Linked DNA regions of Nothobranchius furzeri. The protein of the gene in region 3 interacts with the protein of the main gene of each other region in a pairwise test. Links are inferred from orthologs where the notes say so. Each region holds a gene or a part of one and is shown on either strand. Other genes may lie near its edges.

Region 1 (3,101 bases), on a different chromosome or scaffold from region 3:
TCTGCATGTTTCTAGCTTTTTTTTTCTTTCACAATCCGTTGTTGAAGTGCGAGCTGCAGCAGATTTTCCGGTTTGCGCCTCGCTTTAGGCATAGCGGAATCTCAAAACGATTGTCTGCTTCATGATCACATGACGTGTGACACACGGGTGAAAATCAACTTTAGGGGCGTCATGTTTACTCCAGATGCGCAAGCGTGTTCCCAAGTCTGCACCGTTTAAAAAATAAAATAAAATTGACAACTTAAGTTGTGAATGGCAGCGAGAAGTTGGATTTAAAATGTCCACTTTAGTAGTCGATGGAAGTGAATGAGTTAATTAGCATAATTTATTTTAATGACTTAGCAAACCTGACTTTTAATGATATACATTGCTAAGTTTTCTGATATTGTGTGTGTTTCCCCATAACTAGGAGGTCTAAGTGGTGTTGGTTTGGGACTTGGACCGGGTGGTCAGCCTATTGACACACAAATGCTCAATAGGGGAAGTGGAGGGATGGGAAACGTGGGCCCAGGAGGTAATCAACTCAAGTTTTCTGTTGACCCTTAAATATAAACACTAGTACTCAATCAGTGATCTCAATTTCAGGAATGGATGGAATGGGATTTAACAACATGGGAGGTCGAATGGGAGGCGGAGGAGGTGGAGGAGCTGGTAAGTCTGATTATTAAATACTTAACTATTTTTTATTTACAAATACCTTCTGTACTTCCTGAAGTACTAAGACCTGTGTTGTTTTTAGGTATGGATAACTTTGGCGGAATGAACAGCATGGATCGTTTTGGCTCTTCTGGGATGGGACGGGTAAATGGTAGGTAGAGGTAGACTCACTTAAAAAACCACAAAGCCAGCAATGACCTCATTGATTTGGTGGATGTTTCTGATGGATTTATCTTTTTTGTTAGATATGGACCGTGGGGTTGGTGGTGCTTTTGACAGAGACTTTGGGCGAAATGAAATGGGAATGTCTCGCAATAATTTTGGAGATTCGTTTGATAGAGGAATGGGTCAGTACTCCAGTATTTTGTGTATGACGGCCCCTACTAAATGTCTGTTCAATCAATTTAGTCACACTGTGTTCTTGTTTTTGTTTGTTTGTTTATGCTTATAGGAAATACCCTTGGGATGGATCGAATGAACACTGGAGGGGATCGCCTAGGAGGCAACATTGGAGGAATGGACCGTATGGGTGCGGACAGGATTGATCGTGGGTCTGACCTGGACAGGCTGGGATCTGGGTTTGATCGTGCTGGCTCTGGCATGGACCGGCTTGGGCCCACCATGGACAGGCTTGGACCAGGTGTAGACCGCATGGGTTCTAACATGGATCGCCTTGGTCCTGGTGGGTTTGATCGTCTGGGCCCATCTAATTTGGATCGTATAAGTACCAGCATGGACTTTGGCTCCCAGATGAGCATGGATCGCATGGGCAACACTGGACTTGACAGAATGGGGAGCAGCTTTGATCGCATGGCGTCTTCTGGAGGACTTGACCGCTTTCCTTCTGGTGGCCTTGACCGCATGGGCTCTGCCATGGACCGGATCGGATCTGGAGGTGTTGGTGGGCAGTTTGATCGCTCCGGTGATTTAGATCGTGGATTTGGTGGGAATTCCTTTGGAGGAGCTGGAGGACCTGGAATCGGGGGAGGCAACATCAGAAAGGGATGTCAAATCTTTGTTAGAAATGTGAGTTTGTTTCCTTCAATTTAAGTTGGGCTTGGTTCATCCCAGAAGTTTAGCTTTGTTTTATTTTCAAACTTGGATTTTGTTTTCCAGTTGCCATTTGACTTCACCTGGAAGATGCTGAAGGATACCTTCAATACATGTGGTAAGTATGGCTTTTGTTTTCTCAGAAATAAAAGAATGCTTGGTTTCTGATCTACTGTAAGGAAGCTAATGCATTATCCAGCTTGACCTTGTTTTGATTAAAGAAAACCTCAGTCCTTGAAACATTAGACTGCAGCTCATAACTTTAAAATAAGGTTTATTCAAAGAGCAAGATCTAAACAAGCTAACTGAGCAGAAAATGTAAAATTTCATGTTGGTGCTTTTCTGTTGAGACATGTCTTCTCGGAATCTATGCAGGTATGGTCCAGTATGCTGATATAAAGATGGAAAATGGCAAATCCAAGGGTTGTGGTGTGGTACGTTTTGACAACCCTGAAACTGCTGAGCGAGCCTGCCGGACCATGAACGGCTATCGTCTGAATGGGAGAGAGATTGATGTTAGGATTGATAGAAATGCATAATTGTATTTGTGTTGTATTTGCCAGTTGATTTGGTCTTATCTAAACACTGCATGATCAAAACTGCATTTCAGTGAAATCTATTCAGTAGATGCTATTTTAGTTAGAAATTTGTATCAGTGGATGTTTTTAGTTATTTCTTAGATTGGTATTTACATTTTAGAGGCCAAACTTTTAATCACAGTTCAGTTTTTTTCTGTTACTTTGTGTTTTGAGATGGTTTGATAAATAAATCTCAACATAAAAAATCTTCTGACTTGTGTTTTTACAGATTGAGTTTTACGTTTAAATAAAAATTCGAAGTGGAATAGTGAAGAAGAAAACATTTAAGTACAATTAAACTATAAATTGTATATTTTTTATACAGACGTTTTTAATACGTGTTAAAATAATGGCATATATAAACGATTCATCTCAAAAGACGAGTTGCTTGACGCTTCATCGTCCCGGAAGTGAAAGGTCAGAACCGGAAGAAGGTCTCTACGGCATTCATGATGGCGGTCCCCTTATGTCGGTGTTATCAGGTGAGCCCTTGAGGTGTTTTTACAGTGTATTATTTAAAAACATGAAACAACTGATGGTGGAACCTATATAAGTTAGTTTGCCATTGTTTAAAAGTCATTTTCTGCCCTGCTAGCATTAGCTACGTTAGCTCAAATGCGGTATTTTAATCCTATTTGGACCAAGTATTGTGTGCTCAAAAGGTTTCCACTTGTCTGACATCAATACTGTCGTGTATTCTGTCCAAGATTTCCCGAAATGTGGGAATGTCATTGTATTCGGTTCGGAAGTAGTTGTCTACATTAATATCTTTGTGTGTGTGTCCGTCCATGTCCAGATGTGTTTAAGAAAAGGCTT
Region 2 (2,655 bases), on a different chromosome or scaffold from region 3:
GAGTAGACACAGAGGTCGGCCTGCCGGCCACCGTGGGTCCTCTGGGTGGGCCGTGCTGACAGGGCCCAAATGCTAAGGTAGCAGGGGGTGCTTTCTGGGGAGCCCCTGGCCAGCGCCCCTTCTCACAGCAGGATGAGCTGCCGCTTTGCCTCTTGAATATTCATGGCCGCATGTCTATGACAGGGCAGCTCTTACGAGGATGTCAGCAGCAAGAGGGAGGGAAGGAAGTGCCACGCTGATATGGTCACAGTTTCACACACCATGCACAAGAGATGAACTGTATTTACATTTTCTCGTATGGCTAGAGAATATACTTATTATTCTTGTTATTTAGTACTTCTCAATACTTTTCAGCTGATGGTGTTTGTTTTGTGCTTTAGACATTCCAGTGATTCCAGACCTAGATGAAGTCCAGGAAGAAGATCTAACGATGCAAGTGGCTGTTCCACCAAGGTAGTGAAGTCATTCAAATCAGTCCTTATTACATATGCGCTCAGTCCCTCCAATCATGTGAGTGACAGTTAACCTCTGACCTCGAACAGGACTCGGGATCAGCATCCTGCTCTGGTGACATTGATGTTACCCGTCCTCCGATCACGCCGCTGCACTGTGCCTTCCTTTATGTGACTGAAATGGAGAAATAACAGTTGGATGTGATTTATGCGACTCCATTCCCAGAATCTGCACCGAGCTGGCTCTTTGATTTACAGGGTAGTGAGGGACACACCGACATGTGTCGACTATGTAGCAAGGCTATGACAGTGGTGGAGGTTATTAGGCTGGGGCTTGCACTCTGTGCGAGATAATATCCACATTGAACTCATTGCAGGGGCAATGTAGCGTGTAATGTGCAGTAAGTAGGACTGGCATGCACTGCTAGGCCCCGGCCACTTTGAGAACCCCCCCTACTTAATTCCAACCCGCAGATAAGCAGCTGGGTTTCAATTTGAGGCGTTTAACTCTTGGCAACCATCTCCTGCTCTCTGTGGTCTTTGCTTGAAGTCTAAGAACCCACTGGTGCACAAACTTTCGCAGATCGTAAATATGAAAGTGTTCATTCTGTTTGTGATGTTTGTCTCTTTTAGCATCCAGGTAAACCGGGTGATGACCTACAGAGATCTGGACAGTGATTTGAAGCATTTCTCTGCTTTCCAGACCTTAGTAAGTCGAGGACATTTATTTTTATACATCTGTACCCCCTTTCTCATCTTTTCCTCAAGGTGGTCTGTTCAGTTCTCTGACCAGTATCACCTCAGTTTGTGCAAGCTAAGGGAATTTCCCTGCAATCTTTCTGCAGGATGGAGAGATTGACTTGAAGCTCCTCACCAAGGTTTTAGCACCGGAGCAGGAGGTGAGGGAGGTGAGTAAGTTCTTAGTATATATAGCTTGTGAGCTTCCAGTGCAAGTCTGCCCAGCTGTTTCGACAGCACCAGGGGAGGCTGCCACTCTTGTCTCCCAGGTAATCAAGATTTATGATGTGTACATTAACACCCTCTGCTCTTCTCCCCCCATTCTCCTTGTCTCTGCTCTCTGTCTCGGTATATATCCGTCCCTAATTCTTCTTTTCTCCCTCTGTTCCGTGACTATTTTTCTCTGCAGGATGATGCGAGCTGGGACTGGGATCATCTGTTTACTGAAGTGTCCTCAGAGCTCCAGATGGAATGGGATCAAGGAGAGGATAAGGAGTCGGAGTTGGGACAAAAGGGTCAATGACTCTGGTTATTTAAAATTGAGTTAAATAATATTTTACTTTTATAAATGCATTTTTACACAATTCTCTCTGTACAGAACCTTCATGTTGTCTTTTGAACACTCAGTTGCTTTGAGTGTTTTAACCTAGCCCTAACCCTCTGAACAAATGACATATAGGTAAAATGCCCTCCTTGTACTTGCAACATTATCAACGTCCACCTACAAGTCCAAGGGTGATAATCAGCTAAGCTGAAATCCAGTTGATTGTCTTCAAATTAACATTCTTCATTAAACCCTACAACCTTATTGTTATTGACCGTGCCATTGACTTTATCTTGCAGTCCTTCGATAGGAGCAACCCCTTCTTCACTATTATCTCAAACGCACTGAACAAAGTTTCTATTGACACCTGGGGGATTAGCATACATTATAAGTCTGGACAGCTGCCGCACTTCATAAAGTAAAGAGCCAATTCCTAATGAACAAGAGTATTTTTTTATTTATGTTTAAAACAGAACATTGGCTGCAATTTTCTGTAATTATATACACCATTATTACATTGTTTGTCCTAGTGTCAACAGCGGTATCAGCATTCCGGTTTGTCTTTGGTTCATGTGTGTGAATATAAATGCAGGCCTCCAACGTCCAGCCAGGTCTATTAGGGAAACAGCTGTAACATTTACAGATTGTGATTAGGTTTATTTCTCAGGCCCAGATCAGTCTCATGGTATTTGGTGATGCACAGCAAAGTCCTCAAGGACACACAGCCTACGCATCGAACCGCTCAATCTCTGCCCATCACAAATAGATCCAGATTGTTTTATTTTTTTTCAGTTGGTGAGCCTTGAATCAACTTCATCAAGCGTAATACCTCAGGATGAAGCGATCACTTGGGATATTTGTGCTCAGAATATCTCTATACGCCACAATATTTGCTCTCAGTTTCAGTCATGATCTCCGTTC
Region 3 (3,662 bases):
CATATTTTTCATTCTAGAACGTTCTATAGTCATTCTAGACTCGTTAAGCTTTGCTGGCAAATTTCTGAAGAGAAAAATGTAAAAATCAGAACTTTAAATTTCACACATTATCTTTGAAGGGTAATGTTCCTCTTCACAGCGTCTGCGTAAATGTACGAGGTGTGCACATTATTTAAATTTGAACATTACATTTCCTTATTTAAAGCAGAAATTCAGCACATCTGTTTAATGTTGAGGAATGTGGCACAAAAATGCAGCACAAGCTCAATTTGAGATGATTCTAAATTTTCTTTATTCATTTATTTGCAAAACAGCAGGCCACATATTCTAGAACAAAACATAAGAATATATTTTTATTTGCCTTTGACATGAACAGTTTAGATGTTTTACTTGCATTAATTACAGACAAAGCAAAGGAAGACATGATGGGCAGATAAAACTACCAGCAGGTGTTTTTATCAGCTCAGCTCCTGCAGCAGATGGACTCATTAGTCAGTCACGACCATCACGACCCTCTGCACGACTCACAGACCAGCAGCTCTGCTGTCGCTTTAAGACCCGTTTCCCCTCATTGTGAAGCGCTGAAACAGGAAGAGAGAAGCGAAAGCAAAGCCCGAAGGGCCCCAATGTATTTAAACGCGCTGCTGCTGCAGCTGCTGGCCACTCGGACACGCACTACTTCCTCCCCGCAGAACCCTCCTTATCGAACCGCACTGGCGCGGTTCTTCTAGTCGCTGTGGGACCTGCAAGGCATGGAAGTGTTGCTGCCTCAGGAAATGATGACAGCGTCCTCCTCCATCGGCGTCTAGCTGATTAGAGAGGGAGCTGTTCTTGTTCTGCATCTGTTGGAAACAAGGGAGCTGCTTCTTGAGTTCGCTTTTTATTTCCAGCGATCTGAAAGTGGTTTTTACCAGGGGTGCAGGTGCAGCGCGCCTTCCAGTATCCAGATCAGGCTCGAGAATGACTTCTACCATAGAGAGGAAAACACTGGAAGCAAACGAGTAAGTCAACTAAAATAAACACATTCTATCAGAAAACTATCCCACGTGCAAGACGATGAGATCAGATGTTTCTGCTTATAATATTCATAAAGAAAATTTAAGGAAAAATTAAAGAAACGGATGTAAGGTAAAACTAAACTAAACTACATGTTTAGAGTCAGATGTTGCAGCCATAATGGGAACAGGAGTTGTAACATAAGTGTATTAAGGCACACTGTAAAGGCGTTGGACCAAGGTTGAAACTCGCTTTACACTGGGAATGCTGGCCAGAGCATTACTTAAAGCCCCTCAGAATATAAAGAAGATGAGTCATAATTGTAGTTGTGCGCCTGGCTTCTTTATTATAGCCCATAGGTTAGGACAAGTAAATCAGGATAGCAGTTGATAGACATGATAGCTCATGGGTGTGGTTTTCCTGCAGAATGACAAATATGACGTATGTATAACTTAACCTTATTAAACAATTAACACACATCAGAATATTAACCTTCCGCCACCACATCATCAGTTAATAACCATACTAAACAGTCAGAGGTCACTAAATCATCATCATCTGCTCACATAAAGCCACTATATTAAGGTTTGTCAAGTTAACCTTGACGTCGTCGGTCAACTTCCGGTCTGTAAACAAAAGAGTGCTTTTATTTTCCCGACTGGGTACTTCCGGTGGCGGGTTAGCTTAGCTCAGATACTCTGAACCAACTCCCATTCCCGCACTGTAACAACACCGCTGTACTTCTCTACATTCCCGTATACTCATACAAAGCACATTCATGCCTCCTCGTACGACACCAGCAGACCAGCGCCGATCGGTCCCGAGGGAAGGTATATCAACAGCGTTTTCACAGGGACAGGAAATGCATAATAATTAACTCGATAGCCATAATCAGTCCAACATTGCACTTACTGTTCATCCACGCACACACTCGACCATGTCCCGGTGCTATCCCCCAGGCAGCAACATATCGCAGAGAGGAACCCGGGACACAAACTAGAGCTACGTAAACCTCGAGAGATATGAACCTAAAGCCATTTTATCTCTATCTCTAGCTGGACTTCTGGAGCAGACTTCCGGCCAACTACAAAATAAGCGTAACAAAGGGAATGTTTTCCCAAAATGCAAGACTTTGAGGGCTTTTCTACAATAAGCCAAGATCAAAAATCCATTCATTTTTGTCTGCTTATCTTGGGTCAGGTCATGGGGGGTAGCAGCCCAACTAGAAAGTCCCAGACTTCCCTTTCTCCTGCCATTTGGGCCAGCTCTTCATGAGGAAGCCCAAGGTGTTTCCTGGCCAGACGAGAAACATAGTCCCTCCAGCGTGTCTTGGGTCTTCCTGTCTTGTAGTTGGATTTACCCAGAAAGCCTCACCAGGGAGGTGTCCAGGAGGCATCCTAACTAGATGCCTGAGCCACATCAACTGGATCCTCTTGATGTAGAGAAGCAGCGGATCTACTCCAAGCCCCTCCTGGATGACCGAGCTGCTCACCCCATCTCTAAAGACACCCTGCAGAGAAAACTAAATTCGGCTGCATGTATTCACAATCTCATACCCAGAGCTAGTGACCATAGGTGAGGGTTGGAACATAGATTGACCGGTAAATTGAGACGCTCAGCTTCCGGCTCAGCTCTCTCTTCACCACAACAGACCAGTACAACGCCCACGTCACAGCAGACGCAGCACCAGTCCACCTATTGATCTTGTCCTCCATCTTTCCCTCACTCATGAACAAGACCCTGAGACATGTAAACTCCTCCACTTTAAGCAGGACCTTGTCCCTGACCTGGAGAAGGCATTTACCTTTTTCCGGCTGAAGATCAACTGTTAAAAGATAGAAAAGAAATATTAAATATTACTTGCATATTTTAAAATAAATGTTTCAAAAGTTCTGGAAAAACATCTTCGTTGTTTGATCCGATCAAGTGTTTCAAGAATCCTTTTCACATTTTTAGTAGTAGCAACATATTATTTTTCATTTTTTTAAAGAAAATTCCTAAACAATATTCCTGATAGGTGTGTATGAGTCATATCTTACATCCTTTACTAACTCAGGACCAGTGGTGCTGCAAGATTGTCATGGGGTTCCAAGCAAACACTGCAGACTGGAAAGTGTGCTGCAGTTTATTTGAGCGTGGGAGTGGGGGGTGCACAGACAGAAATGTGTGGCAGAGCAGTGAGGGGGAGGAGGAGTGCCCTGTTGGGTAGTGTGAGACAGCCCAAGTTATGTCAAATTACAGCTTTTCACAGTCCCATAGAGCTCCGGGAGTTGACGTCACATCTCCCGGCATGCAACAGTTCAAATCGAAACGGCGCCATATTGGCATGCAGAAGCCGGCAGCTGGACTATTTGTTATTGTCAGAAAATTCAATCAAACGGGAAATATGGTAGATTCCTGTTGTGCCCCAGGATGCAGAACAGACGCGGACGACATAAGGAATGAGTCATCTACAGGATTCCCCAAGTTCCGGAGCGCCGCAAACGTTGGATCATTGTAATAAAACACGTTAGTGACCGGGATAAAATGAAGCTGTGGGATCCCGAGAGTAAAGGTTTTCGCTTATGCAGCGACCGCTTCATATCAGGTACTTAAACAACGTGTCCTCAACTGTGTATGGTATTTATTTTAAATGCTTTTATTACGATTCTTAGTGGGCTTCCTAA

The links.
Region 1: the proteins of lmo2 (region 3) and hnrnpm interact in binary tests that used the Homo sapiens proteins (3 or more experiments, as listed by UniProt). The link is inferred for Nothobranchius furzeri from reciprocal best matches to the Homo sapiens genes LMO2 and HNRNPM.
Region 2: the proteins of lmo2 (region 3) and intraflagellar transport protein 43 homolog interact in binary tests that used the Homo sapiens proteins (3 or more experiments, as listed by UniProt). The two-hybrid records come from large-scale screens. The link is inferred for Nothobranchius furzeri from reciprocal best matches to the Homo sapiens genes LMO2 and IFT43.

The regions. Positions count from the first base shown.
Region 1 is NC_091748.1:58,534,071-58,537,171, reverse strand, and holds the end of hnrnpm (heterogeneous nuclear ribonucleoprotein M), read left to right. Parts: intron 1-409; coding exon 410-514; intron 515-585; coding exon 586-651; intron 652-739; coding exon 740-808; intron 809-902; coding exon 903-1,004; intron 1,005-1,108; coding exon 1,109-1,683; intron 1,684-1,773; coding exon 1,774-1,825; intron 1,826-2,082; coding exon 2,083-2,246; 3' UTR 2,247-2,491; downstream 2,492-3,101. Other genes in the region: timm44 (mitochondrial import inner membrane translocase subunit TIM44), read left to right, coding at 2,735-2,767, 3,082-3,101. UniProt on the Homo sapiens protein: Pre-mRNA binding protein in vivo, binds avidly to poly(G) and poly(U) RNA homopolymers in vitro. Involved in splicing.
Region 2 is NC_091758.1:32,622,538-32,625,192, forward strand, and holds the end of intraflagellar transport protein 43 homolog, read left to right. Parts: intron 1-380; coding exon 381-453; intron 454-1,085; coding exon 1,086-1,161; intron 1,162-1,297; coding exon 1,298-1,360; intron 1,361-1,599; coding exon 1,600-1,713; 3' UTR 1,714-1,998; downstream 1,999-2,655. UniProt on the Homo sapiens protein: As a component of IFT complex A (IFT-A), a complex required for retrograde ciliary transport and entry into cilia of G protein-coupled receptors (GPCRs), it is involved in ciliogenesis.
Region 3 is NC_091744.1:61,983,621-61,987,282, forward strand, and holds the start of lmo2 (rhombotin-2), read left to right. Parts: upstream 1-814; 5' UTR 815-960; coding exon 961-1,001; intron 1,002-3,662. UniProt on the Homo sapiens protein: Acts with TAL1/SCL to regulate red blood cell development. Also acts with LDB1 to maintain erythroid precursors in an immature state.